Linked DNA regions of Cricetulus griseus. The protein of the gene in region 2 purifies or fractionates together with the protein of the main gene of each other region. This does not show direct contact. Links are inferred from orthologs where the notes say so. Each region holds a gene or a part of one and is shown on either strand. Other genes may lie near its edges.

Region 1 (3,995 bases), on a different chromosome or scaffold from region 2:
CCCTGGACTCGTCTGTCACATAGGCATTATCTTATGACTCTCAACCAAGTGAGCCAGTTCGCTTGCTTTCTTCCCATTTCCAGATTCGGTATCTGGGTTCAGTCTGGCCTCAGCTATGATGGCCTCTGGGGCCTTTACCCACAGGGCAGAAGGAAAAGCAGAAAGGGACAGTGCCACTGGCAGCAGCCAAGCAAGAAAGTCCAAACCAAGCACCACCAGCCCCCAGGTGGGGTGCCAGGCACCCTCCCCTCCTCCGCCATCATCCCTGCAGCTCTGCTTGGCAGTCCTGCACAACACGTCTGGGGTTGAGCTGTCCTGCATGGTCTCCTAACTCCACTCCTTTCCAGAGGTCATCTGCCACCCTGCATTCAAGCCCACAGACCTGCCTCTGCTCCATCGCTTTTGTCGCCCAAGCACCTAAAGAATCACGAAGAGGGGACCAGAACACCCGCTGACAATCTGTAACATATAAGTCATCGGAGCTAGTGAAGGCTAGTTTTTTGGCCAGTTTCCCGCCTTCGGCCCCCTCACCCTCCTCCAAAACACATCAGATGAGAACTGGAGCCGTGCAGGAGCGGCTAGAAAGGGCGTAGGGAGGTGGGCGCTGTTGGGGGTGTGGGTGTGCAGGTGACCAGGGAAGCGAGAGACCAGGACAGAGTGGTGGAAGCCCTGAAAGAGAAAGCCGGGTACGCTTAAGGATGGAGAAGAGCAAAGGGGTGCCGAATTCGGCAGGGGGCGGGGAAACCCCTGATTGGCCGGGGAGGACGTGATGTCACGTCCGGCGAGGGAAGCCCTGCCTCAGCGGTCCCCCCCGCCCCGCCCCCGCCCCCACAGGTGGTGCCTCCGCCCTGAGTACTGGGCTTCTGGGGGAGGCACCTTCGGGGACCCTGGACTCCGCTTTGCATTCCTGGCTCCCCCCCTCCCTTCCTCCCTCCTCCCCAGCAACCGAGCCCATCGCGTGGACTGCAAGGGCCTGCACGCCTCCTCCTCCTCCTCCTCCTCCTCCTCCTCCTCCTCCTTCCCGAGAGCAGAGGAGCGCCCGGTGCGCCCCGATCGTGCCCCCAACCGCGCCCGCGCCCCCCGCCCCGCCTAGCCCCGCCCGGGCGCTCCCCTCTTCCGCGCCGCGCTCCCCGCCCCTCCCTGCCCCTCTCCGCGGCCGCCGTGGGGCCGGGCGGGCGGGCGGGCGGCGGGGGAGGCGCTGAGCCGGGACTGCGCGTTCGCCCGCCGCGCTCTGGGCGGCCCGACTGAGCGCCTGGACCTCGCGCGCCTCGCGCCTCGCGCCTCGCGCCGCAGTCGCAGCCGGCTTTTGTTGTCTCCGCCTCCTCGGCCGCCGCCGCCGCGCCTCTGGACCACGAGCGCCGCCGCCGCCGCCGCCGCGCGCGCCGGGACCTTGGCTCTGCCCTTCGCAGACTGGGCTGAACGGGCCGGCCGGCCGGGAGCGAGGGAGGGAAGCGCGCGCGGGCGGGCGGCCGGGGAGCCACGGGCCCCCGCCATGGAGCTCCGGGCCAGAGGCTGGTGGCTGCTGTGCGCGATCGCCGCGCTGGTCGCCTGCGTCCGCGGGGACCCCGCCAGCAAGAGCCGGAGCTGCAGCGAAGTCCGTCAGATCTACGGGGCCAAGGGCTTTAGCCTGAGCGACGTGCCCCAGGCAGAGATCTCCGGTGAGTAAGGGCGCGGCAGTGTCCGGGGGCTCCGGACCCCAGCACTCAGGAGGAGGAGGAGGAGGAGGTCTGCTCCGGGCCCCTGACCCCGCCGCAGCTAGCCCCGGGCGCCAGAACCCGCCACCTAGACTTGGAGTGGCCTCCTGCGCCTCCGCTGCTCTGTCCCCCGCGGCCCTCGCCCCTGAGCTCCGATCCGCTCTGTTGCTTCCCAGTTCCCAGTCTCTGCGCGCTGGAGCCCCTTCCTCTTAGCGCTGTTCTGGCCCGGCTAGGGACGAGTGGACCCCAGTGCGGTGCACTCCCTTCGGGTCAGGGTTGGAGCTGGGCGTCTTCAGCCCCTGGCTTGGCCCAATGTGCCTGTGGGGCGACAATCCCAGCTCCGGGGCAGCGTGCCTGCCGCCCTTGTGGCGGAGCAAGCGGTAGCTGTGGGGCGGTCTGTCGGGGCACAGCTCCCGGTGGCAGCGGGCTAGGAACTTCTCTATGCGGACCTCTCCCAGAGGCGTCAAGGTTCTACTTAGGAATTCCCGCGGGTCCACGGCGGGAGCAGCCTAAGTGGGATTTATGGGAGGAGATCCTATCCTGCAAGCCTGAATTCCAGGGAAATGTGAGCCCGCTGTGGGCTTCAGGCGACCCCAGGGCTCGCTGGGATTCCTACCCAGGAACTTGTGCCCTCCAGCGCCCGGGCCCTTGCGCACTCGTGGTCGGGCCGGGCACTTGGGGCCGCCTGGAGCTACGAGCCCAGCTGCAGGTGGTCGACGTCTTGGATCCCGCCCAGGGGCCTTGTCATCTCTTTGTAAGAAGAGCGGCCCTCCTGGCGGCAGCCTCGGCCCTGCAGCTGCTGGGAGCAGCCCTTCCCCTCCCTTCCCTTCCCCGCTGCCTCGGGAGCTCTGGGAACCGAATCTTTATGAGCTTGGAGCGCCGATGCAATGTCCTAAGGACCTCCCCAGCCCCAGGCTTCACCCTTCAATGTGTGTGGAGCTCCCCTGGATAAGTGCAACACCAGGGCCTTGGTGAGCAGGGAATTCCCGCTGTAGGGTTCTTCTGAAACTGAAGGGGCTTGCAGGCTAGAAGCCAAGCTCAAGTGGTACCATGGGCACTCTGAATGAGGAAAATCAGGAGTGTCACCCAGAGTGGGTAGCCTGTGGCCTTACCTTGCTTGGGAGTGGTAGTAAGTAGCCAGGCTCTGGGGAGAGACAGAACCCAGAGATACCTTGTTTGGCCCCAGTCTCTTGGCTAGCTGCCCCTCAGATACCCCTAGTACAGGCCTTTCTGTGCCTCTCTCTGCAGACAGCCCTGCTATGTCAAGGCCACACCTCCTGCACTTCTCTGGGCACTGTCCACCTGGGTGTCTGGCAACAGAAGGTGTCCTGCTTTCCCCTCCTCCAAACACACATAAATAGGAACTTAAACCCCGGGCATCCTTGCCTGCCTCTGATCCTTGCCAGACTCCAGATCCCCACACACACCAGTCTGACACCTTCCAGCCTACAGCTTCCCATGGCATGGCCAGGCCCACCCGCCTTAATGCCTTCTTGAGGAGCTTCTTAAGCGTGTACCCACCCACTGCTACTGTGCCCGTGTCAGCAGGGACTGGCAGTGTGGGCAGTGACAAGGGCACTGAGAGGGTAAAATAAGAGGCAGAGATGTGGCCTTCCAGAGATTCTGGGTCTTTCTGCCCAGGGTTGGGGAATGTGGGAGTTAGGAACTCAAGACAAGTAAAATGCGGTGATGTCTTTGTCGGCTGCGAGTACTGTCCATCCAGCTGGGATGTGTGGGTACCCTGAAGAATTACTGCTATCATACCAGTTGGAGTCCAGCATCTGTTCAGGGTCACCCCACTTATTGGTATGCAAGGCTGGGGGCTGTGTTCTTCCACCATCCCTATTGGTGCACCTCAGAAATCGTGCCCTGCTTCCCTGGAACCCCCTTGGGCTGCACCTCATAGCCCTCAGAGTGGGAGAGAGAGTCTCTACAAGCCCCAGGGCACTGAAGAGAGTATTAGCACATAGACTGAGAAGCAGGGTGGCCGCCAGGATAGCCGGAGCCCAAGCGGCAGCCAAGCTCAGGGTCCTGTCTGGTTTTGTACCACCAGACCTGGACTCCAAGGACCAGGCGCCCTCTGGTGGCCCCTGATGGCGCAGTCCTCCCTAGAGCTCTAAATCCTCTGAGCCTTTTCCTGCAGCACCGATCTAGACTTCCAAAGAACGTTCTCCTCTAAGGAGTATGGGGATCCCCCGGGGGCTAGATACCTGCTCAGGTACTACTGGAGGTCAGTGGGTGGTTGGGAGAGAAGAAGGGTGGACTATGAGCGCTTGAGTGGCCTTTTCTGCTCCTGTCTTG
Region 2 (3,500 bases):
GAGGAAGTGATGACGAGGCCACAGACCCAAGCCTTTGGACTAGATCACAGTGCTCCTGGCCACAGACCTTCCTCTCCAGTGTCTCCCTAGGGAACATGGCTCAGTTGGGTTCTCCCGGCAGCACTGTAATCTTGGCTGTGGCCCCTCACCAGGTGATTGGCATGCACTACTTTTCTCCTGTGGACAAGATGCAGCTTCTGGAAATCATCACGACTGACAAAACCTCCAAGGACACCACAGCCTCTGCCGTAGCAGTGGGTCTCAAGCAGGGCAAAGTCATCATTGTGGTGAAGGTAAGGCACAGGGGCAGGTGCAGATTTCCTAAGCCTGCAGAATTGTGTGTGACCTAATTTTTTGGGGGGGGAGGGGAGATACCAGCTTCTACAATGACCACTGGGTTGTCTCTGAGATGATAGTAGCTGAGATGGGGTAGGTATGGTAGTGTCTAGGCTCTGGAAGGTCCTCTCCAGTGAGTCCAGACATCAAAGGTTACATGAAACCCACACTGTTCAGGATGGCTTCCTTTCCAGGGTAACAATGAGCGTTCTGAGAGTTTTAAGTCAGCTGAAACCATGAAATGAAGTGTGGGAAAGAGAAACTGGGTGTGGACATGGGTAGTTCAACCAAAGCAGGGCTGGCCGGCCATTAGCTTTCTTCCTCTCGGCAGGATGGACCTGGCTTCTACACCACCAGGTGTCTTGCTCCCATGATGTCTGAAGTCATACGAATCCTCCAGGTGTGTATTGTTCTGTGGAATGCTTGAGACCTTGTCAGATCTTTCACTCTGTTCTCCAAGCTGAAGATGTCCAGATGAGGGACAGGCTCCCCTAGAATATACCACTGATTTTCCCTGGAGGCCCTTTTGTGCCTCCCTTGGGGCTGAGACTGCCCAATAAGCAGAATGTTAATTCTGCTCTGTTAGCTTCCTGAGCATTGCAGGAGCCAAAGGCCTTCCAGAATCTCAGACACACGGCTTTTATATCCCTGGGGTGAGACTTTCAGACCAGAACCTGCTTGGCCTGACTACCACTGTATCTGCTTTGCTATGCACACACACACATGTGTGCATGTTCACAGACAGACAGACACACACACACACACACACACACACACACTCTCTCTCTCTCTCTCTCTCTCTCTCTCTCTCTCTCTCTCTCTTTCTCTCTCTCTCTCTCTACCTCCATGGCCATCCAGATCATTCTATGGCACTTCCCTAGCCTCAGAATGCCAGCATTCCCAGTCTTGGTAGCTATGGCATTGCCTTAGTCCTAAGATTTGGAATCACAAGCAAGAACTGAGTGATCTGGTTGTCTCTAAGCTTTCTTAAAGGGCGTGGGAAAGCTTCTGGGTTTGTGCTTACGCTTTCCTGGGTGAAGGGCTGGTTCTGGACCTGGCCAGGTGATGTCCAAGGAAAGAAGTGGGTTTCACACAGGCTATGTCTGTGGGTAATTACAGGCAACCCTGGTGCTGGTGGGGGTGGGGGATGGCTGTGCTCTGAGCCCCTGCTTTACTTCCTGTTCAGGACAGGCAACCCTGGTGCTGGTGGGGGTGGGGGATGGCTGTGCTCTGAGCCCCTGCTTTACTTCCTGCTCAGGAAGGGGTTGACCCTAAGAAGCTGGACGCCTTGACCACAGGCTTCGGCTTTCCTGTGGGCGCTGCCACCCTGGCGGATGAAGTCGGTGTGGATGTAGCACAGCATGTAGCAGAAGACCTAGGCAAAGCCTTTGGGGAGCGGTTCGGAGGTGGCAACGTGGAACTGCTGAAGCAGATGGTCTCCAAGGGCTTCTTGGGTGAGTAGCACAGGTGACATGCGTAAACTCTGTTACTTACAGAGTTGTGAGCAGCTGCCTGAGAGCAGAGTGTGTGGAGGAGAGAGTTTCCTAAACACAGAGCCCTGGACATAGAGAATCTCTTAGGCTGAGCATGCAGATTAGGGGGAAAGGCATAGTCTAGGTTTATGGGGCTCTGCCATGTATGCCAGATAGATCACCATATTCCTCCTGCCAAGGTCTGGCACTATAGGAGCAAGTTCTGTATCCAGGTTTAACCCTGTGGTCTGGCCACCCATGGGAGTTCAACCTTTCTATTCAGAACATACAATTAAGACTGCAGTAAAATCACCTTTAGGGCCTAGGCCTCTAGCTGGACACTGAGGTCTGGGGGTGGGATAGGGGTGGATTTTCTTGTTCGTATTCAGATTTCCATGCACCAGGTGCTTCCTCTCTTCTCTGTCAGTTGGACTGAATGGCTCAGCTGGCTGGACGCAGGCACTTAGCAGTGCAGCAGAATGCTAGAAGCTCACAGTGTCCAGAAGACAGGAGTTCTCAGCTGGGGTGAAGGGCAATGACTAACACAGTCTCTTTCTTCTCTCAGGTCGCAAGTCTGGGAAGGGCTTTTACATCTATCAGGAGGGATCAAAGAATAAGAGCTTGAACTCTGAAATGGATGGGATCCTGGTAAACCTGAGGCTGGCTGCCAAGCCTGAGGTGTAAGTTGATCCAGTGACTGCTTGCACAGAAATGATTTCTCTGGTAGCTCAAAGCTCCGAGGCCCCTTTTTGGTTCTCTTTATGGCCCGAAGCTGGCAAAACACTATACAGCTAAAAGCCCTGCATGTACTCTCAGTGCAAGTGTCCAGGTGAGAGTGGGCCAAGCCTGCGACAAACCTTGCCTGTGTTTTTGTTGTTGTTGTTGTTTTTCAAGGCAGGGTTTCTCTGTGTAACAGTCCTGGCTGTCCTGGAACTCTGTCTGTAGACCAGGCTGGCCTTGGACTCAGAGATCTGCCTGCCTCTGCCTCCCAAGTGCTGGGATTAAAGGCTTGCGCCACCACTGGCTTCAAGTGCCTTTCTTAAGACTGTGATGTTAAGATTAGATACTGATGATTTCTAGACTTTGACACAATCATAAGAAAACCAGAGCTCAGCGAGATTATGCCATTTGCCCAAATTTACCCAGCAAGGCAGTGAAGGAACTGGGATCTATATTCAGTCCCCCTCTAAGATGCTTGAGTCTGGTGACTGAAGGTGAGAGATGGATTATGCAGGCGCCTGCACCCCCCCCCTTACATTGAAGTTAATCATTGCCCTGCACCCCCCTTGCTCTTTGTTAGCTTTGGAAATACACAGATGTTGCTGTCAGGAAATGATCGCACTTTTTCTGTGCCAGACCATTTTGGGTGTTCATACCAGTTAGGGAAAGTCCCACCCCTTTTTCCAGGAGATGGGCTGTGTCATCTTTCAGGATGGTGTGGTCCTTCCTGGCCACTGGGTTCCCTAGGGCTCACCCGCACCCCACATGCTGCACTCCAGCTCTTCCTGTTGTTTCTCTGGCTAAATGTTCCTTCTTGTTCCTTCTCCTCAGCTCCTCTGATGAAGACATCCAATACCGTGTGATAATGAGGTTCGTGAATGAGGCAGTCCTGTGCCTGCAGGAAGGGATCCTGGCCACACCTGCAGAGGGAGACATTGGAGCGGTGTTTGGGCTTGGCTTTCCCCCTTGTCT

What was found. The genes of interacting proteins can lie anywhere in the genome.
Region 1: the proteins of Hadha (region 2) and Gpc1 purify together in Homo sapiens (co-immunoprecipitation; 3 studies listed by BioGRID and IntAct, with this or other methods). This does not show direct contact. The link is inferred for Cricetulus griseus from reciprocal best matches to the Homo sapiens genes HADHA and GPC1.

The regions. Positions count from the first base shown.
Region 1 is NC_048595.1:444,321,243-444,325,237, forward strand, and holds the start of Gpc1 (glypican-1), read left to right. Parts: upstream 1-1,195; 5' UTR 1,196-1,492; coding exon 1,493-1,658; intron 1,659-3,995. UniProt on the Homo sapiens protein: Cell surface proteoglycan that bears heparan sulfate. Binds, via the heparan sulfate side chains, alpha-4 (V) collagen and participates in Schwann cell myelination.
Region 2 is NC_048600.1:14,156,794-14,160,293, forward strand, and holds part of Hadha (trifunctional enzyme subunit alpha, mitochondrial), read left to right. Parts: intron 1-152; coding exon 153-293; intron 294-667; coding exon 668-736; intron 737-1,594; coding exon 1,595-1,790; intron 1,791-2,373; coding exon 2,374-2,488; intron 2,489-3,359; coding exon 3,360-3,500. UniProt on the Homo sapiens protein: Mitochondrial trifunctional enzyme catalyzes the last three of the four reactions of the mitochondrial beta-oxidation pathway.